5 linked regions of the Cricetulus griseus genome follow. Each later gene encodes a partner of the first gene's protein in a complex. Links are inferred from orthologs where the notes say so. Each region holds a gene or a part of one and is shown in the gene's direction. Other genes may lie near its edges.

What was found.
Region 2: the proteins of Mapk1 (region 1) and Ptpn7 are in contact, whole or in part, in a crystal structure (PDB 3D42), measured with the Homo sapiens proteins. The link is inferred for Cricetulus griseus from reciprocal best matches to the Homo sapiens genes MAPK1 and PTPN7. Residues at the interface, in NP_002736.3 of Homo sapiens: Thr185, Glu186, Tyr187, Val188; in NP_001351807.1 of Homo sapiens: Arg124, Tyr125, Lys126, Ile128, Asp257, His258, Ser292, Ala293, Gly294, Ile295, Gly296, Arg297, Gln335.
Region 3: the proteins of Mapk1 (region 1) and Dcc are in contact, whole or in part, in a crystal structure (PDB 3O71), measured with the Rattus norvegicus proteins. The link is inferred for Cricetulus griseus from reciprocal best matches to the Homo sapiens genes MAPK1 and DCC. Residues at the interface, in NP_446294.1 of Rattus norvegicus: Glu107, Thr108, Leu113, Gln117, Leu119, Asp122, His123, Tyr126, Phe127, Asn156, Thr157, Thr158, Cys159, Tyr314; in NP_036973.1 of Rattus norvegicus: Arg1149, Pro1150, Pro1151, Asp1152, Leu1153, Trp1154, Ile1155, His1156.
Region 4: the proteins of Mapk1 (region 1) and Dusp6 are in contact, whole or in part, in a crystal structure (PDB 2FYS), measured with the Rattus norvegicus proteins. The link is inferred for Cricetulus griseus from reciprocal best matches to the Homo sapiens genes MAPK1 and DUSP6. Residues at the interface, in NP_446294.1 of Rattus norvegicus: Glu79, Glu107, Thr108, Leu113, Gln117, Leu119, Asp122, His123, Tyr126, Phe127, Gln130, Thr157, Thr158, Cys159, Asp160, Tyr314, Asp316, Asp319; in NP_446335.1 of Rattus norvegicus: Arg64, Arg65, Leu66, Gln67, Lys68, Gly69, Asn70, Leu71, Pro72, Val73, Arg74.
Region 5: the proteins of Mapk1 (region 1) and Dhps are in contact, whole or in part, in a cryo-EM structure (PDB 8PVU), measured with the Homo sapiens proteins. The link is inferred for Cricetulus griseus from reciprocal best matches to the Homo sapiens genes MAPK1 and DHPS. Residues at the interface, in NP_002736.3 of Homo sapiens: Tyr113, Tyr187, Ala189, Thr190, Arg191, Trp192, Arg225, Lys231, His232, Tyr233, Leu234, His239, Lys259; in NP_001921.1 of Homo sapiens: Arg159, Glu160, Asn161, Asn164, Asn173, Glu174, Tyr176, Cys177, Glu180, Asp181, Met184, Asp188, Asp243, Phe247, Tyr250.

The regions. Positions count from the first base shown.
Region 1 is NC_048597.1:72,356,860-72,360,953, reverse strand, and holds the start of Mapk1 (mitogen-activated protein kinase 1), read left to right. Parts: upstream 1-1,294; 5' UTR 1,295-1,509; coding exon 1,510-1,622; intron 1,623-4,094. UniProt on the Homo sapiens protein: Serine/threonine kinase which acts as an essential component of the MAP kinase signal transduction pathway. MAPK1/ERK2 and MAPK3/ERK1 are the 2 MAPKs which play an important role in the MAPK/ERK cascade.
Region 2 is NC_048598.1:54,117,289-54,121,549, reverse strand, and holds the start of Ptpn7 (tyrosine-protein phosphatase non-receptor type 7), read left to right. Parts: upstream 1-1,457; 5' UTR 1,458-1,561; intron 1,562-2,612; 5' UTR 2,613-2,664; coding exon 2,665-2,786; intron 2,787-3,242; coding exon 3,243-3,426; intron 3,427-3,625; coding exon 3,626-3,710; intron 3,711-4,261. UniProt on the Homo sapiens protein: Protein phosphatase that acts preferentially on tyrosine-phosphorylated MAPK1. Plays a role in the regulation of T and B-lymphocyte development and signal transduction.
Region 3 is NC_048595.1:168,280,125-168,283,633, forward strand, and holds part of Dcc (netrin receptor DCC), read left to right. Parts: intron 1-2,362; coding exon 2,363-2,595; intron 2,596-3,509. UniProt on the Homo sapiens protein: Receptor for netrin required for axon guidance. Mediates axon attraction of neuronal growth cones in the developing nervous system upon ligand binding. Its association with UNC5 proteins may trigger signaling for axon repulsion.
Region 4 is NW_023276806.1:164,932,408-164,936,577, forward strand, and holds the start of Dusp6 (dual specificity protein phosphatase 6), read left to right. Parts: upstream 1-1,370; 5' UTR 1,371-2,233; coding exon 2,234-2,633; intron 2,634-3,105; coding exon 3,106-3,543; intron 3,544-4,170. UniProt on the Homo sapiens protein: Dual specificity protein phosphatase, which mediates dephosphorylation and inactivation of MAP kinases. Has a specificity for the ERK family. Plays an important role in alleviating chronic postoperative pain.
Region 5 is NC_048596.1:159,293,429-159,297,371, reverse strand, and holds the start of Dhps (deoxyhypusine synthase), read left to right. Parts: upstream 1-1,138; 5' UTR 1,139-1,230; coding exon 1,231-1,437; intron 1,438-1,836; coding exon 1,837-2,001; intron 2,002-2,454; coding exon 2,455-2,576; intron 2,577-2,657; coding exon 2,658-2,754; intron 2,755-2,837; coding exon 2,838-2,924; intron 2,925-3,398; coding exon 3,399-3,504; intron 3,505-3,580; coding exon 3,581-3,684; intron 3,685-3,943. UniProt on the Homo sapiens protein: Catalyzes the NAD-dependent oxidative cleavage of spermidine and the subsequent transfer of the butylamine moiety of spermidine to the epsilon-amino group of a critical lysine residue of the eIF-5A precursor protein to form the intermediate deoxyhypusine residue.

The DNA.
Region 1 (4,094 bases):
GTCTAAGATCTCATTTGCTGGCCACAGAGGAGTCTGCGTCCAGGGACGACAGGGTAGTAATGCCTGAGAGACAAACTGTGTCATTCACTATCTTACCATTGCTCTCCTTGGCACCCACCTACTTTAAGATTACAATTTTCTTCGGGTTCATTCGTGTTTCTGACTGGTTCTGACCCACAACTTGTTCAGATGTTTCAGCCATTCTAACTGTGCTATATTTCAGTACGCCCATCTGGGTTTCTGCTCATCTGTACCAAGCTGGTGTTGTGTGACAAAACACTTCTTGAGAAGACACAATACACACCTAGTCACTACAGATGAGTATGGATACCAGCAAAGTTGAAGAGTGTCCTCCAGCTATTTAAGTTGGTCTAGACCTCTTCCAGGCAGGAGGCAGGAGGCTGATTTCTGCTTCTTCTAAGCAGTTTGGCTGAGTCTTCTTTGCAGCTCCGTGGAGTTCATCGAACAGGGATTCTCAACTTTTATTGCTTACTCCAGCAAGGAGTAACCCGGTGAATCTGGTCAGTTTCAAGGACTCCCAAAGTTCCTTTGTGCCGTTTACTTTCCTGTTTAAGGAGTTTCTCTGCAGGATAGAATGTTTCAATCTCGCAGGAAACGGTTACACAACACCTGGGTCCAGTCCCTGGATTTCAGTCTTTCTCCAGCGTCCTCACCCACAACTCTGTAAACCTTCCCTCCAGTTTTTAATTGTTCACAGCACTTAGTTAAGTGAGCATCGTATTTGTCTGTCTCTTCACCCTAGAAGGGAGAAGTATTCAGCAAATCTTCTTGAACAAACCTCTAATTAGGGGATTCAATGCCTTGTGTTTTGGTTTCCACTTATGTCTCACACTTTTTAGGTGTGAAAATATCTTTCTGAGTCTGGGTCATGCTTTTTGGTTTCTGTCCCAGTTTGGCAGTCTAAGTTCATTAGTGTGAGGGCCACGGATTCCCAGAGGCCTGTCTCAGGGGTCCATTGCTTGGTGTATGCTGAGTCCTCCGGTCTCACGCCAAGTGCCTGGTTCCACATGAGTTCGTCCTGGGCACCGCACAGCGGTCGGACACACTGTGGGGTCGTTACGCCCAGGTTTCCACCAGGCTTTCAAGAGCCACCAAACAAACTGAACGCCCGGTTCTCCAAACGCACGTGACGGCCCTCCCCCGCAGCCGCAGTGCTCCTGCCTCAGTTCGCTGCTTCCGCCGGCCCTCGAGACCCCGCCCAGCGCCGCGAGGAGCCAATCAGCGCTCACGCCCTTGACTCCGCCCCAGCGCCCCTCGACGCCAGCCCCTCCCTCCTCCCGCTCGCTGCCCGCCCGTCAGGCAGGAAGGCAGGCAGTGGTTCACTGGCGGTCAGTTCTTTGCTCTGTGTTGTCTTCGTTCCGCGTTCCCGGTCGCGGGCGGCGGCGGCTACACGGGTGGCAGCGCGGTCCCTGCGGGAGGCGCTGCACAAGCCGAGCGGCGGCCGCGAAGCGTCGAGCCCAGCGCGGCGGCGGCGACTAGGCAGCCAACATGGCGGCGGCGGCGGCGGCGGGCCCGGAGATGGTCCGCGGGCAGGTGTTCGACGTGGGGCCGCGCTACACCAACCTCTCGTACATCGGAGAGGGCGCCTACGGCATGGTTTGGTGAGTGTCTACTCCGGTTTGCAAGCTCGGCCTCACCCGGTCACCCCTGCCTGTGCCCCTGGCTGTTCTGGACGCAGCCGCGGCCCTTCCCGCGCCTTGGCCTCGCGTTCTGCAGCGACCTGGACCCCTGACTCCTCTTTGGTCCACAATCACGGAGCCCGTCGAGGCTTAGTTGTTGCTGGGGTGCTTCCTGGGCTGCCCCTCGTTTGCCGTTGGAGGGGCACCCCACACTGAGGTCAGGACCCGAGGACTTGGTCTCAAGCTCGTACTTTGGAGTCTTCTCCCTTGGGACGGGAACGGAAGTGCACCGTGTCCCCTAATTTATGGCATTATAGCCGCCTTCTTTGACATTAGATCGTAAAACCAGGAATTCCATCACAGGCTTGTCGGTGGTGGTGGAGGCGGCCGTGGTTTTGCAAGCGAGAATCCTCGGCTTGTGTGCTGAACACCAAAATATTTTTCTTCCCTTCCTTGTGTATACGTGAACAGCTTTCACAAAATATCTTCAGTGGAGCTAATGATGCGTTCCAACTTAGGCTTTCTAAAAAGCATTAATGACACCAGCGTTGGTTGTGAGGATATTTAAATCTTGAAGTTTCAAAATGGATGTAAATATCGTTGCGTTGCAGGAAGGATAAGCTAGCATCACTCTTAAAGAGTTATTAAGATGTATTTGGAATTGGGCCTAATTTGACTTTAACTCCTTCGTTACCATCGAGTATTTTCAGACCTAATTTTGCATGGTCACTTGTAGGATTTCTCACCTGATTGTGGAATGATGAAGTGTGTTGTTTTTACTGGAACAAGTATTTGTGTTTTGTACTGAAAACTTGTGGGAGTAGGTTTTCTTACCCCTAAATTTGTGTCTTTTGTGCTAAATGAAGAAAACTAATTTATTGAAGGTCTCTGAGATACTCTGCTATCCGAATAGTTTAATTTTGTCTGGATAGCCATCTTGAGGAAAAAGATACCCTCTTTCAGATAAGGTATAGAAAGGAAGTCCTTTCCCAAGGGCGAAGGACTAGAACCAGGCTCTGATTATAGACAGATCCTGTTTCAAATGCTGCAGCTCTTCAGTCATTACACATGCCTTTCTTTAATGTTAGTAATAATCTTGGAACTTTAGCATATTTTCCTGATGAGCAAGTCTATTTCAGAAATGCATTCAAATTTGAATGGTCATAATTTTAGAAATGGTAGGAAAGACGTGTTTTCCACCAACTGTCTTAACTAGATAGAATAATTAACGTTCTTTTTAAAAAGACTCACAGTGTACAACTATGAAGATAAAGGTGAACTGGTCTTGGGAGTCAAAACAAATTAAATTAGGTCACAATTAAAGACTTATAAAGGAGTACTTAAAAAAGTACTTCCCCTTCACATCTGTCTTGCACATATTGCTGCTCTTGTACCTGCATGCCAGTAACTCTCTTATTATACTGAAGATTGCCAGTTATAGTTTCATTTATTTTAAAAACTAGCTTATTTTAAATAGGCACAAAAATTGAGGATATGTCATTTGGACTCCCCACAACCACCTCTGTTTGATAAGATGGATTATTTAGATTCTGGTGCTATTGCTGCTGTGGAGTTACTTAACCTTTGAAGTTTACAGCTGCTGTGCAAAGTTCTCTTTAAAATTCAAATTTTAGGGGCTGGGGAGATGACTCAGCAGTGAAGAGCAGTTGCAGCTCTGGGTTCTAGTCCCAGTACCCACCTGCAAGCTCACAACTGTCAGTAACTCCAGTTCTAGAGGATCAGATGTTCCTTAGACACAAATTTGAGGGAAATACCCATATTTGTGAAATAAATTAAATTTAAAAATACAAATTTTAATTTTAAGAAAAGTGTAGACCAGGTGGTGGTGGCGGCATACACCTCTAATCCCAGGAGGCGAGGCAGAGGCATGTGTTCTGTGAGTTCAGGCCAGCCTGGTCTACAAAGGGAGTGCCAGGACAGGCTCCAAAGCTACACAGAGAAACTCTGTCTCAAAAAAAAAAAACAAACAAATAAAAAATGCAGGTACAATTGGAATTTGAATCCTGGATCCATCCTTTTATCTCCAGGTTGATAACATCTTAGTATTTGTAGAATATTTTTAATTATAGGTCATTAGCATTTGATCATTAGCTGGGTTTATGGAGAACATCTTGACCTTAAATGCCTGCTTGAATAGTTGTGATCTTTTAAAAAGCTAGGCTTAACAATCAAGACCATCTTCAGATCCCAGCATCTACATTAGGTGACCCTCTGACTTCCAAGGGCATCTGCACATATGTGGTTCAAAGAAAACTCATATGTACATAAACATACTAAAAAAATAATTTTAAAAACCATGAAAAAATGTTTAAGGGATTTTCAGCTATCCTTTAGCAGGGTTTTCCCTAAAGTAGTTCATTGGAAATTGTGCCTATTTTGGTTAGATTCCCCTTCCTTATGTAGAAGACAAAAAGATAAGATTGGGTGGTGGGT
Region 2 (4,261 bases), on another chromosome or scaffold:
ACTTCCTCCACCTCACCCCTGTGGTGTCCTCACTTCCTTTTCTTCATTGTCATCAACAGCTGGCCCAGGGCGGGTGGCCCTCGGTCTCCACTCCCAGCCCTCCACTATCTGCCAGGGCACTAACACCCCTGTGGGGAGGTCAAGGCAGAGCCCAGGCTCCAGTCACTGTACACAAGTGTGCAGGAATTCCCAGGCTCCTGCTTCTATCACGTCGTCATCTTGGCACAAGAGCCGGCCCTTACCTCCCAGCTCTCCTGAGCTTCCTCCTCAGGAAAGCCCACCTATTCCTCTGAGGAGAACAGGCTACGAAGAAGAGGGAGCCAGAATCAACCAGCCCTGGAGAGGTTGCAGAGAGTCATCCTCTGACTTACTGCCAAAAACAAACACAGGTGTCCCAAGCCTTCTGATCTCAAAAGGTCATGCCTGGTCCTCACCTCCTCCCCACGGGCCAGAAGAAGGCCAGCCCCTCCTCCCACCGCCTCTCAGGTGCCACCCCTGTGCCTACTGTACAGAATTTCTTTTTTGGTGTCACCATTTGACAGTTGAATCAGAGAAGTAGGAGGGAGAGAGAGGATAGGGAATGCGAGCTCCGGAGGCCAGGAAGGGTGTTGGGAACATTACAGAGTTTAAAAAAAAAAAAAAGTCTTGCAAGCACACATGAACCTTGAGCCAGTTGGGCCAGCAAGGGGCCTGCCAAAGCCAGACAGGGTGGCGGGGACTGTGGAGCCTTAGACTTGGGGTCTGCTCCCTCCCCACATCCCAAGCATCCAAGTGGTGCAGTGGTGAAGAGGACACTGGAAGTCCCTGATGTGAGGGCCACAGCCTTCAACTATCTCTGTAAGTCTTCTAAGGAGATAGATGCAGGGTTCTGAGACACTCCCCAAGGGGCAGTCTGAGGGGTTCCTAGAAAACAACCCCAGATTCTTCTTCAGTTTAGCTCTACTATCTGTTCGCCAGCAACTAGCCTGTGCCTGCAGGCTGAGGGACTCAGAGCCTGGAGGAGACCCTCCCTTCTTAGCTCTGGGCTCCTCCTTCCTGTATAGAACAAGGAGTCCTCTTTCCCCCACTGTAACTCTGCAGCCCATCTACTATGGCCTGGGCTTGGCCATGAATTGCCAGGCTTTGAAGCTGCAAGGGCTTACAGGGGCAGAATTGAGACATGAAAATAAGTCTCTAGCCAAGGGCTCAACCAGAGGAACTGAAGGTTCCCTATGGTTATCTTCTTAGCAAGGAGATAGAGGGGGGCATGATAAAGAACCTGGAGGTACAGACCTGGAGTGGTCAGGGAAAGCTTCATCCCTTGTCCACTCTCAGAGCCTTTGCACCCAGCACGGATGGCACGGCACCACCAGCTTGCTCTTAGAGGGCACAGGGAGGATGCACCCGACCCCTGGTGGCAGCTGCAGCAGGCGCAGGAGGGCAGCCTGCAGCTGGGTGTGCGTGGGTGGAAGCCAGGAGGGGCGGAGGGAGGAAGCTGGCTTCCTGAAGCCTCTCAGTCCTCAAAGATAGACGGACTGACAGACAGCTGGCAAGAGGCAGCCTGGGGGACACAGCTGCTTCAGTAAGTACTTGAAGTGGGCACAGGCATACTAAGGCCCTGGGGTGGGGAAGCCTTGGAAACAGGAGGGTGTCTCTGAGGATGGAGTGAGGGAGCATGAGTTTGGGGCTACCATGTCTGGCCAGGCATGAGTAGTGGCATATTTGGTGTCCCTGTGGCTGGAGGACAGAAGAGCCATACAGAATGCCTGGAGAAGAGGAGCAAAAGGCCTATTCCTGTCACAGGAGAGTGCTGTCCCCGCCACACCTGCATGGGCCCACACTGTTCCAGGCCTCTGTCCCTGTAGGTTAGCAGCTTTAACACCACCACCACAGCACCTGTGACTTAGTTCTAGGTGACAGGGACTGCCCCCAAAGGAGATGCCCTCGTCACCTCTGTGCCCCCCCCCTCTCTCTCTTGTACCCCCAGCTGTAGCCTCACCATGCGCTGGCGCTCTAAGGCTTGGCGAGGCCATTTCCTGTGACGGTTACAGAGGCGGGAGACTGGGGGATGGGACGGAGGAGGAAGGAAACACCCCTAGCATACTACCCTGGATAGAGACCCCAGAAGCCACAAGTGATCTTAGGGTAGAGCTGCCAGCAATTAGGAAATGACCCTACCAGAAGTGTGGCCTGCCTGGGTCCCCAACTGGTTCCAACGCTACTAGAGGCCTCAGTTTCTCATTCTGGAGAAGCCTGTTGGCAGACTGAGAACGCTGTGGGCTTTCTCCCTTCCTTCTGTGTGGTCGGCAGTCTGTTGTTCTCATTTGGACGCCAGCTTGGAGCCCTGTGGACTTGGGTAACCACTCTCTTCCTCCTTCCGGATTATTTCCTGTCTCTACTCATACCTACACTCTATATCTCCCTCCTCCTCTAACTCCAGATTGTCCCCTGTCCTGCATCCCAACGAAGAGCTCCTGTACTTACAGGATAAAAAAAAAAAAAGTTAGGCCACTTCCTTGGGAAGAGAAGATGCCTCCAGTAAAAACCAATAGGATGGCTGGCCTGGGCTTAGGAGCTCCTTCTAGCCAGTGAGGCAAGTCAGAGGCCAGCAAATATAGGGCCTTGTCTTTCAGGCAGGCCTCATGGCTGAGTGAGCCTTCCTTGAGCCCAGCAATCTAGCCCAGCATGGTCCAGACCTGTGAGGGGTGTTCCAGACCACAGCCACCGACCTTGTCTTTGGGGGAAGCCATGACCCAACCTCCACCCACCAAAGCTCCAGCCAAGAAGCATGTGCGGCTGCAGGAGAGGTGAGGTCTCTCACAGAGAAAGTCTTCCTAGACCTGGGTTGCTTTCTTTCCTTCCTCATACCCAGCCTTCCTGTCCTAACAACAGAGTCCTCAAGGCCTAGAAGGAAAACTAACAGTGTTCATTTGCATGTTGCTTGAGGCACCAAGTTTCATGTCCCAAAGTCTCAAGTTGTGATGAGTGATCTCTGGGACAAGTCCAGGGGCCTTCACAGCATTGGTTTGGAGCCTCTGTGCCAGCCTGGGAGTAGAAGAGGTAGGCAGTAGGAAGAGGCATAAGAGCTGCAGCCTACTCCATTCTATCTGATAAAAGGAAAGGGGAACGTCGTAAGGACCTGACCCCTGAGTGCCCTGAGCCTCTAGGTCAAGAGAAAGACTAATTGTGGCCTCCTAAGACAAGCTCTGTGGCAAGCCAATGACCCAGGATGTTCACTGGGCACTGGATGGCTGTGCTTGCAGAAGGGGCTCCAGTGTGGCTCTGATGCTGGATGTGCGGTCTTTGGGCACTGTGGAACCCATCTGCTCAGTGAACACACCCAGGGAGGTCACCATACACTTTCTGCGCACAGCCGGACACCCCCTTACATGCTGGGGTCTACAGCACCAGCCACCCAGCCCCAAGCAACTGGAGGAGGAATTCTTGGTAAGAAGTTGGGGTCCCCTTCTATATCAGACCATCATGGATTCCTTGGGCCTCTCTTCTCTTTGTGGTCCTTAGGGAACAACTCCAGGGATCAGGAGAGAAGGTTGTCCCCATCCTTGCTCTGTGTGCAGAGGGTGGAAAGGGAGAAAGGGAGGGTGAGAAGGGGGCCAGATGTTAACTCACTTACTCCTCTCACTAGAAGATCCCCTCAAACTTTGTCACCCCTGAAGACCTGGATATCCCTGGCCATGCTTCCAAGGACCGATACAAGACCATCTTGCCAAGTAAGGACCACAGCGGGGGTGAAGGGGTGGTGTCCTTGTGGGTGGAGAACTCTGAAGCTAGGCATACTGGTGCAGGCCTCTAATAACCCTCGCACTTGGAGGCACAAGTAGAGGATCAGGAACACAAGGCCAGTCTTCGCCATATAGCAAGTTCTAGGCTAGCTTGGTTTATATGAGGTCTTGACAAAAATAAATAAAATAAAAATTAAAAAAAAAAAAAACTCACCTCAGCCAAGGAGGAACAACAATGCTTGAGACATCGTCTTTCAACAGAGAAATACTAACACCACCCTGGCAACTAGGAGATAGACAGTGGTTACAAGATAGCATTTGCAGAAGTTTACTGTGGGCCTGTGTGGTAGAGGTGAATTCACACAGACAGACCCAGGCCTTGCACGCCCTGCTTTTCAGAGACTTGAGTCCTGGAGACTACTACAGTGGCTTCCTAAACTGTGGTCTGAATTCAGCCCAGCACATGGGTCCTGCCCTGGGCTGAGCCTCCAGACTCACGGCCTGCCTGAAGAGCCCAAGGCTCTGAGAACACTCATCAA
Region 3 (3,509 bases), on another chromosome or scaffold:
TGAGAGATTAAAAGAACACTTGCAACATGTGTAGCATATTTTCACACTATGGCTTGCTCTCTGGAATTCCCTTCTCTGCTAGAAATGTAGTTTATCTGCTCTATCCTTAAAGTGGGGACTGAGCACTTAGGACCACTGAAACTGGCCACCATAAAAATGAGTAAATAGTCAAAATAATTATTTATGTAGTTTAAATTGATAAAAGCTATAGAACATAGTGTTATATTATGCAGCAAAATTCTAGAGGGATTGCCATGGAGAATGATGAAAATAAATTGTATTCACTAATATAGAAAATAAAACTTAGCCATTGTCAAAAGTCTCTGGATCACATTACGTCCATAGATAAATCACTACAGACAACATTGCTTTAAATACAGTGGGGTTATTCTGTAGTTGACTCTAAAATATTCAATAAATAACAGCCATGAGCATTTTTATTTAAAAAATCATAACTAGCAGGATTGACTTTTGTCATTTCCTAAATAGGATCAAGACTTTATTACAAAGGATGAGAGACCATGTTTACATAAACTACATGCTAGCCCATGACATGGAGAAGTCAAAAGTAGTTCATACATTAGACTATTCTTCCTCTATTCATAAAATTCTTCTTTCAAAATCAGGCAAAAATACAAATGTGAAAGGCAATACTTGCTGTAGTTTGGCAAGAAACAGTTTTTCCTGCTAAACAAACCTACTATATGACTCAAATTCCTGTAGAGGCTACAGCTTCTTCTGTTCTCTTTTCATCATTTCATCAATCCATTTGACTTTAAAGGAGCCTTTAGTAAGAAGAGACATCAAAAGAAATATGGAAAGCCTGGGCTCTGTCATCAAATTTTAATCCCAGAGCGCTCTCTCTCTCTGTCTCTCTGTCTATCTCTCTGTCTCTCTCTCTGTCTCTCTCTCTGTCTCTCTGTGTCTGTCTCTCTCTGTTTCTGTCTCTCTCTCTCTCTCTCTCTCTCTCTCTCTCTCTCTCTCTCTCTCTTCCTTCCTCTCCCTCTCCTTTCCTTTTGTTCTGTTTCTGTCTTCAGTTTTAAAAATATTTTCTCCAAAACCACAGGCTAGTAACATGCTTAATAATTCATTGGAAAGCAGAGTGGTGAATAGGGGCTGAGAATTTGAAAACCAAGGTAAAGAGGCAGTAATCAACAGACTGGCCAACAACAACTCAGCTTTGAGCTTGGTTATTAAAATAATAAACTGTATAAGCTGCTGCTGCCTCTCTGATCTCATTCCCTTAAATGACTTCAACTGTCCAGTCTTAGAATTCTGTCAGTTTCAAATTTTTGTTAGTGAGATTCCTTACTGCGTCATATAAAGGTCGGTTTTTTATCTGCCATCTATAAATTTGAGTGTCTCAAAATGAAATGATTATTATTACCACAATGTAAGCTTCTGAGATTGTAGTTGTCCCAGCATAGGATAAGTGTAAAGGTTTTAGGAAAGTTTGTACAATCACACATCATTCTTCAGATTCCAATCATGTTATTGATCAAAGCACCTGCATATCTCAGTGGCAATCTCTCATTCTGAAGGTAGTTAATTTGTCTTCCTATCAATGATGTTCATTCTTTCCACTGCACTTGCAGTTTTAGAATCAGGAAGGTAATATAGGAATGCCTGACTGGACTGAAAATGGAACTAACCTATGCATGAGAAAGCAGGAAGATGAGCACTTCTACACTTTAATATTACAACCTAAGAAACCTGCTTACCAGTCCCCATCTGATACTAGCTTGTAGACATCAGATGAATATTGACCCATGTGACCATGCATATGTGCTCACTCTGGCTTTGATAGAATAACTGATATATATATATATATATATATATATATATATATATATATATAGGTTCTTTCATAGATTTTGTGTGTCGACTGAACAATATTTATAGAGATATAATCTAGACAATAGTAAAAGGAATATAAAAACACAGCAAAATCAAAGATAAAGAAGAAAATTAAGATGTCCAATAGCATTTATTTCCATTTCAGAAAAAATCACCAGAAATAACACTTTTATTGTTATTTCAAATATTTGATAAATCATGAAGCTGATAATTTAGTAAACTAAACCTTGTAAGAAACAATGTGCAACAGTCAAACAAGATGGGCTTTTAAGATATACATAATCTATTTAAACATAAATATGAGGAAATACTGTCATTTTTAACATAGCAATACTGTTCTTATTATATTTCATGGTTTAATTAATTGCATTTTTTCTGTTCTTCTCATGTTCCCTTTCATCTTTATTGCCATGCATTTAACTCATTGTGATGTGTTACCACTGGTATTTATTTTAACTCTTTGTTTACACATTCGTTTGTTTCATTTGATGGGTTTTTAACCCAGATCCCACTGACCCAGTTGATTATTATCCTTTGCTTGATGATTTCCCCACCTCGGGCCCAGATGTCTCCACCCCCATGCTCCCACCAGTAGGTGTACAGGCTGTGGCTCTTACCCATGAGGCTGTGAGGGTCAGCTGGGCAGACAACTCTGTCCCGAAGAACCAAAAAACATCCGATGTGCGACTTTACACTGTCCGATGGAGAACCAGCTTTTCTACCAGTGCCAAGTACAAGGTGAAAGTCAAATTGATTGCATGAAATTTAAAATTATCTTCCATGTGTTGTTGTTTTCAATGTATCCTGGCCTGTCGAAAAACACTCTTCTACAGTGATTTTTACGAGGCATTTTAGTAATTGAATATCTAAAGTTAGTTAAGAAGAATTATTCTTTTGGAAATCGACAACAGTTAAGGTAGAAAAATATCAAGAGCTGCAAAATGATGTCTGAATACCACCAGACACTGCCTGAACCTGACTTTTGCTTCTGTAGGAAAGAAAGCCATTTTCCTTGGAAATAACAGGACTCCAATAACATCTTGCGAATAGATACTGATATGATTCCTTTTATTTGGAACCTAGATTGCTCTCTTAATAATACACATACGCACACACACACACACACACACACACACACACACACACACACACACACACAGAGAGAGAGAGAGAGAGAGAGAGAGAGAAAGAGAGAGAGAGACAGAGAGAGAGAGAGACAGAGAGAGACAGAGAGAGACAGAGACAGAGACACAGAGACAGAGACAGAGAGACAGAGAGAGAATAACAGGGAATACATGATGTGAAGATTCCTTATAACATCCTAGGAATGTTTTGAAAGTGATTAACATCAATTTCCTTACTTAGCTTTGAAACCGTCTTCCTGTCATAAGGAAACTCCCTTAAATGAACCAGACTTATACCAGCCTCCTGTTTGTATAATAATTTCCAAATCATTTAATACTCATTCCAGGGAACCTTAGTGATATTTAAGAACAGTCATTTCACTTTTCCATCTCTCTTGCCCAAGCTTGGAGATTCTAACAAAGAGTTACTAGCAAAGAAAGGCATATAGCCTTCTAAATCCCAGACCATGTTAACATGTTTAATTGGTAGACAGTGTCAACAAATTAGAAAGATCAGCATGCACCTGT
Region 4 (4,170 bases), on another chromosome or scaffold:
CTTGGACCTTGAAGTCGCCCCGTTTAGCCCACATTTCCCAAACCCCGGAGGAGGAGGAGGAGGAGGGTGATTCACAATGCAAATTGCATTGCGGGTGACAGCAGGTAGGACCGGGATGCGCGGCGCCCGGCTGGGGAGACCCGGTGACCTTAGGCGCCCTCCGCGCCCCGGATTCGGGAAGGGCCGCAGCCCGCGCTTCCGCCTCCCGACTGCGGCCGGACAATGAGCGATTCCTTTCCGTGGGGCCGGGAGGGCAGACCGGATCGGGACCCGCGCCTTCCGCAGGGCCCGCCGCCGCCGCACACAGGTGGTTTTCCGTCCGGGAGGGGCGGCCTCGGCACTTTTATATAACAATAGAGCTGTGCGCGCCGGGAATGCGCCCTCGTCGCCGTCGCGGCCCCCGCCGGCCACGCCTCCATCCGGCTCCGGAGCCGCGCCGCCTCCGTCCTAAGTTGCCTGCGGGTGGTACGGGCAGCGGAGGTTGTCCTTGAAACTCCCCACCCTAACTTGGGAACCCAGGGGTCCAGACGCGGCCTCCTCTGGGTAAAGCTCTAAATCTGTACTAGTTTTCTCCCAAGGCGACAGTTCTGCGCTGGCCCTATAGGCGATCACGGGGTGGTCCCGGTGACCCCCTCCCCAGAGCGCCGGGGCTGTGGCCAGAAGCGCAGCGCGCAAGCGCGTTTGGAGCTTCTAGAGTGCTCTGTGCGGGGCTCCAGCACCGCTTAACCAAGGAGGGGTAGGGCACCGGCCTCGGTGTCCACAGCTGCCAGTCGCCGCTTTCACTTGCGTTCCCGCAGCCTGCAGGTCTTGCGGGAGGACTGCGCCTCGTCTCCCCGCTTGCGGGGATCCTTGGTGAAGCCAGACACTTAGGCTGGCTTGCCAGACCGGTTCCTCTTAGAAGGCAAACTTCGGCTCCCGGCCCCAAAGGAGCACGACTCCCCAGGCTCGGTGGGTGACCGGTGGTGGGGAGCAAGATCTTCGGAACAATGGCTTAGAATACCCCCACGCCACCAGAGCAAAAGAAAAGTGTAGGGCTACCCCCTCCCCCCCCAAAAAAAAAAGTTGAGAAAACTCGTGGTTGGGGAGCTTCTGGTTTTCTGGACAACCAAATGCTTGTTTGCTTACTTGCTTTAAAATGTTTCAACAAAACCCTAGTTTGTTTCGAAAGACTTTGGATTAGCATTTAACACTTCGTCGGGTCACTAAAGCCCAGGCAGTTCACCAGCCCCAACACAGCCTCGGCTAAAAGAACATGAGAACAAACAACTAGACTTTTAAAAGAGCCAAACAAATGCCACACATGATCTCAAGGAGGACGGGGAGAGGGGCTCTGGCGGGTCTAGAGTTTTAAGGGAATAAAAACAAAGGGGGGGGAGCCACCAAGTTTTATTAAAGCTAGTTTGAGAGAGCGCAAGCGTCGCGAAAAAGGGCTTTTGTAGTTGTTAATTGCACCACTGGTGCGCAAAGACTTCGACGCAAAGTGCGAACTCTCAACCGAAGGAAACACGAGACAACTGAAGTGCCCTGGTTTATCTGCCCTGCTCCTCCTCCACCACCGCCTCCTCTTCTTTCTCCTTCCTCCCGCCGAGCCCGCAGTTGCAGCTTGTTTGCACTGGGGCTTATCCGGAGCGGAAATTCCTTTCCGTTTTTGTGAATGACAAACTCATTAACAATTCATCAACACAACCTGTTCCAGCCGGCCCGTCCCCACGGCAACAGCCCCTTCCGCAGCGCTCTCATTGGCTGGCCGAGAGAATGTATCCATTGAGACGCTGGCTGTTTGTATCCATTGAGGAGCTGCCTCGCGCAGGGGGTGTGCTCTCGCCGAGTCCTGGGGACTGTGGGCAAACGGAGTCTTGAATCCAACCGGGTTGGATCTGAACTGCAGCCTCACAGGAAAGCAAGGGTTAGGAGCCGCTAGACTTTTTGTTTTGTTTTCTTTTTCCTCTCTCAGTGGCACGGAGTCCGAATTAATTGGATTTCATTCACTGAGGAGGAACAAAACTGGGTATCTTTTCAGAGAGATTCTAAGAGTGATCCCTGCAGCCCGGTGCAGAGGGACCACCGGCTTGGCTCCTGGGTCGCTTTCCCTAACCGCTAGCCTCGGCTTGGGAAAGGCGAGGCAGAATCGAACCCCGCTCCGAGAGCGGCAGCTTCGCGCAGCGTGCTTGGCCTATGCCTGCCTTGAGGGGCGTCTGCTAGGCACCCCGCCTTCTCCTGCAGCTCGACCCCCATGATAGATACGCTCAGACCCGTGCCCTTCGCGTCGGAAATGGCGATCAGCAAGACGGTGGCGTGGCTCAACGAGCAGCTGGAGCTGGGCAACGAACGGCTGCTGCTGATGGACTGCCGACCGCAGGAGCTGTACGAGTCGTCGCACATCGAAACGGCCATCAACGTGGCCATCCCGGGCATCATGCTGCGGCGTCTGCAGAAAGGCAACCTGCCGGTGCGCGCGCTCTTCACGCGCTGCGAGGACCGGGACCGCTTTACCAGACGCTGCGGCACCGACACCGTGGTGCTCTACGACGAGAACAGCAGCGACTGGAATGAGAACACAGGTGGCGAGTCGGTCCTCGGGCTGCTGCTCAAGAAACTCAAAGACGAGGGCTGCCGGGCGTTCTACCTGGAAGGTACGTTGTGCACCCAGGGTGCAGAACTCTCGGGTAAGGTTGCATGCTGGGGAAGCCGCCGGCGAGGTAGGGACCACGGCGTGCGTTCGGCTTAGGGAAGCTGGGCCCCCGTGGTAGCCTCCTTTCTGGTACTCCACCCCCCTCCGCCAAGGGTTCTGTATAACCAGGCACCTCTACGTTCCCCACGATTTCTTTGGTTCGATTTCAAATATCTGGAAAACTGGAAAGGTGGCTGGGGGTCGAAATATTAAGAAAAGTTATCATTTTGTGCATTTCCGGATTCAGATGAATTAAAGAGTTCGGGGGGGGGGGAGAGCAGCCGGTTGTGTTTCTAAAGGTGCATACTGAAGTCTCTTAGGACTGCAGGAGGTTCATTGGGCCTGTAGTGTTTCCTGCACCCAGCTGCGGTTCTCACAGGCTGAAAATTACTACTGCATCTCTGGTTACAAGATTGCTTTTCTTGTTCTGGCAGGTGGCTTCAGTAAGTTCCAGGCCGAGTTCTCCCTGCACTGCGAGACCAATCTAGACGGCTCGTGCAGCAGTAGCTCCCCGCCCTTGCCAGTGCTGGGTCTCGGGGGCCTGAGGATCAGCTCCGACTCTTCCTCAGACATTGAGTCTGACCTTGACCGAGACCCCAACAGTGCAACGGACTCGGATGGCAGCCCGCTGTCCAACAGCCAGCCTTCCTTCCCGGTGGAGATTTTGCCCTTCCTTTACCTGGGCTGTGCCAAGGACTCTACCAATTTGGACGTGTTGGAGGAGTTTGGCATCAAGTACATCTTGAATGTCACCCCCAATTTGCCCAACCTCTTTGAGAATGCAGGGGAGTTCAAATACAAGCAAATCCCTATTTCGGATCACTGGAGCCAAAACCTGTCCCAGTTTTTCCCTGAGGCCATCTCTTTCATAGGTGAGACTAATTTACAGTCATTCATAGAGTTGAAGATGATAATCTCTTTTCCTGCAAGCTATTTTGCTGGACTGCAGGTCTCTATTGTTCCTAGAGGGTTTTAAATTGTGGTTTACCTTTTTGCTAAAGGGAAACAGGGCCCTTTGACATAGCAGATCATGGGTCTGTTTGATGAAACATTAATTCGTACTTTTAAAAGGAGGCTGTTCCCAATCAGTGTTTTTATATGTTTCTAGACGAGGGTGTGAGTAAAGAGAAGCACTTCACTTTATTATAATTTTGAAAAAGACCCAGGAGTTATTTTAGGACACCCAAGTTAGTTGTTGGAAAGCAGTGTGAATACTGAATGTTACCCGGTTGAATGATACTGCAGTGTGCTTGCTGGTAACAGTGAGACTCTGGGTAACCTGATATCTAGCAGGAAGAACTGTGGGCTAGGAGCCTAAGAGAAGCGAATCTCCAGGCATTGTAGTGCATTTCCTATTACAAAGGAACTCATTTTCAGGCCATGTAGACATCCTGTTCCTCCTAATGGCTGTCCCCTGTGACTTCCCTCTCTTTTAAAATGCCTGAATACCTCCATTGTTAGCTGCACAACAGTTGGAGAATAATTTAATAGACCCTTGC
Region 5 (3,943 bases), on another chromosome or scaffold:
TCATATTTGAGTGTGAGTGTGTGTGTGTGTGTGTGTGTGTAGGCCAGAGGACAACCTCAGATGTCATTCTTTAGGAGACATCCATCTGGTCCCCAAACCTTTTATTTTGTGCATGTATGAGCATGTGCATGCATGGTGTGCTTGTGGAGGTCAGAAGACCATGTGCCTTTGGCTACTGAGCCATCTTACAAGTCCCCAGGGATCTACCTGTCTCTGCTACCCCAGAGCTGGAAATATTGGCACTGCCCTCACAGCCATTTTTTTTTTAAATTTGTGTTCTAGGAATTGAATACATACATCCAATTCACACTCTTGCAAAGCAAGGGCTTTACTGACAGCTATTTCTTTTACCACACCATCCCCTTATGTTGAGTTATGGTCTCACTCTATTGTTCAGGCTGATCTGGAACTTGAGATTCTCTTGTTTCTATCTCTTAACGGCTGGCAGGTGTGTGCCCTGAGCCTGGCTTAACCACAATTTTCTGTTGCATCATTCAGACTATGGGACATCAGGAGGGCAGAGGTCTTGTTTACTGTTGGAGCTCAGTGCCCAGTACTGAGATTTTTTTTTTTTTCCCCTCCGAAACAGGGTTTCTCTGTGGCTTTGGAGGCTGTCCTGGAACTCGCTCTTGTAGACCAGGCTGGTCTCGAACTCACAGAGATCCACCTGCCTCTGCCGCCCGGTGCAAAGAGCACTATTTAGTGTAGACTACGCAAATTACAGAAGAATAGGTGCTCCTGTCGCTTCTTGGGGTACAAAGATGATAGCCATGCCTCCCTCCCACAAAGGACCCGTGGTTCAGTGGAAGGTGACGGGTGTGGCTGGAGGGGGACTTGGGAAGGCACCAAAAGGAGTAGCTATTCCCTTTGACAAGAGGCTGCCTGATGCCCTAAATCCTGTCTGAGGGCTCTGTCTTAGGAATAGTCACCTCACTCATACGGGGCAGGAATATTTGGACAGACAACTTTCAAAGGAGGCACTTTCATCCGCTTTAAACTGAGTCCGTTTTCAGGGAATAACGGCAGTGTACGGAGCACAGGCGTAAAATGGCCGCTACCAGGACTGCAGGCGCGATCGAAAGTCACGTGACTAAATAGCTTCCGGTCGCCCCGCCCCGCCCCCAGGCTCTCCAGTCCCATTTCCTGGACTCGGGCCGACCACGCTGAGCGAGAGGTTCGGCGCGTCCCGAGGCAGCGAAGCGGCTGTGAGTTGTGAGCGGCCGCAGGCGCATGGAGGGGACCCCGCAGGGGGTGGCGCCCGCCGCGGCGTTGGCCGCTGTGCTCAAGCACAGCTCGGCGTTGCCGCCCGAGAGCGCCCAGGTGCAGGGTTACGACTTCAACCGCGGCGTGGATTATCACGCCCTTCTGGAGGCCTTCGGCACCACCGGATTCCAGGCTACCAACTTTGGACGCGCGGTGCAGCAAGTCAACGCCATGGTAAGGCCGGGTCCGCCCAGGAGCGGGACGAGAGGGTGGGCCGCCCCGCCAGCCCGCGTTCTCTCCTGAGTGTCCTGTAAATTTGTGTTCTGGGATGGGGGGATAGGGGTTAATAGAAGAGCATTACAGGAGGAGCTTAACGCCCGGAGAGCCTTGGAGTCACTTTTCCCAGTGTAAGGAGACTTGAAAAGAAGACACTGTGTGGTTCCTAGTGACATCCCTAAGTGACAGACCTGGACTGGGGAAGGCAGGGCTAGGATCTGCACAGCGGCTGTGCTTTGGTTTTGAAGTAGTCCTGAATCCTTGAGTACAATCAAACTCTGGAATCCAGGCCGCCTGGGGTTCCTCGACTGAGGTTTGGAGTCAGTGCAACTTTGCTGTGCCCTCCCTCACGTGCAGATTGAGAAGAAGCTGGAGCCGCTGGCACTAGGTGAAGACCATCATGAGGACCTGACGAAGAGCCGCCGCCCACTCACAGGCTGCACCATTTTCTTGGGCTACACATCCAACCTCATCAGTTCAGGCATCCGTGAGACCATTCGCTACCTTGTGCAGCACAACATGGTGAGTCCACACTATGTCTGTGGCCTCAACCTCCTTGGGCTAATGGATAATAAGGTTACTGCTCATTTCAGAGAAATGGAGAGGGGTCTGAAGAGGTTCAGAGGTTAAGAACCTGCTGAACTTGCTGCTCTTGTGGAAGAAGGTCTGGGTTTGCTTCCCAGCACCCATGAGGTGGCTCACAAATGTCTGCAGCGCCATTTCCAGGAATGTAGGGAAAACACCGCACATATTAAAAAAATTTTTAAAAAAAGGATGTTAGGAGATGGATGTTTGCTTTTGGATGCTGGCAGTCCTTATGCCTGCTGAGTGGTGAGATCACAGGAGTGTGCCACTTTTTCTGGCTATGGGTCTGCTCTAAGCAGAGGAACAGACTTGGGGTCAGGATGAGCTCAGGCTGATGGTAGGAGTGCTGCTGCTTACAGTCAGGGTCAGTGTTGTTGCCTGTGACTACAGGTGGATGTGTTGGTGACCACGGCTGGAGGTGTGGAAGAAGACCTCATCAAGTGCCTGGCACCCACATATCTTGGCGAGTTCAGCCTCAGTGGGAAGGAGCTCCGGGAGAATGGGATCAACAGGTGGGCCCTGAGTAGTGATGGGGGCAGGGAAGCTGGACTGAGGGTCGTGATGACTGATGCCCATGTGCCTCCGATCCCCAGGATTGGGAACCTGCTGGTGCCAAATGATAATTACTGCAAGTTTGAAGACTGGCTCATGCCCATTCTGGACCAGATGGTGCTGGAGCAGAACACAGAGGTAGGGCTGGAAGGGTTCAGGAAGACCTACATAGGAGAGTCATAAGACATATATGGGCTAATACTGATGTTCTCTTCTTGTAGGGTGTCAAGTGGACACCATCCAAGATGATCTCCCGGCTTGGCAAGGAGATCAACAACCCAGAATCTGTGTATTATTGGGCCCATAAGGTGGGTTGGTAGGGATGACATTCCTAGGCTTTGGCATGTGCTGACTTGTTTTGTCTTTGCAGCCACCTGGGAGTCTCTATAATTATTCTTAGTCTTCCCAGACTTAGATGAGGCGTGTCAAACAGAGGCTAGGTAATCTGTCTGTTGGATGAAGGGTTCTGATATCCTAGCTATGCCCTCACACTATTGGGACCACTTAGGTGTAGTGCTTAAGAACTCACTGGGGCCTGACCCAGGGTACCATGCTTCCAGAGACAGTGGAGTTCCAAGAGTGGAAACTAATGAACCACTGCTCAGAGTGCAGACACCTTCTTAGAGGCATGTACAGTTTTCCTCTCATCTGCCTCATGTCCACCAGAGAAGTCAAGCAGCCTGGTCGGGTTGGGAGGGAAGGAGGGAAGGAGGGAGGGATGCCACTGGTTGGCATTTTTTCTGGGTTTGAGCTGTAGCTAACTGGTTGTGTGTCCACACCAGAACCACATTCCTGTGCTGAGCCCTGCGCTCACAGATGGCTCACTGGGTGACATGATCTTCTTCCACTCCTACAAAAACCCAGGCTTAGTTCTGGACATCGTTGAAGGTGAGATGCTAAGGGCCTGGGAGAAGAGGGAGGAGGGCCCAATGAGGCCAGATGCAGACACAGCTCTCTCTCTCAGACCTTCGACTCATCAACATGCAGGCTATTTTCGCCAAGCGCTCTGGGATGATCATCCTTGGTGGAGGTATGGTCAAGCACCACATTGCCAACGCTAACCTCATGGTGAGTGGGGTGGCCCTTGGCAGGTGTCTCTTTTGCAGACATATGGCATGCTAGGCATGGACTACAGCAGTGGACCAGATGGGCCATAATCCCTGTCCTCTTTGGAGTTACTTTGGGGTGAGGCAGTCAGACAGTAGTAAGTGACATGCATGTCAAGTGGCAATAATTCTAAGGACATAAGTAATGTCAGTCAGGCAAGGTGACTATAGTCCCAGCTATTTGGGAGACCGAAGCAGGATGATGGCCTGTACATAGTTCA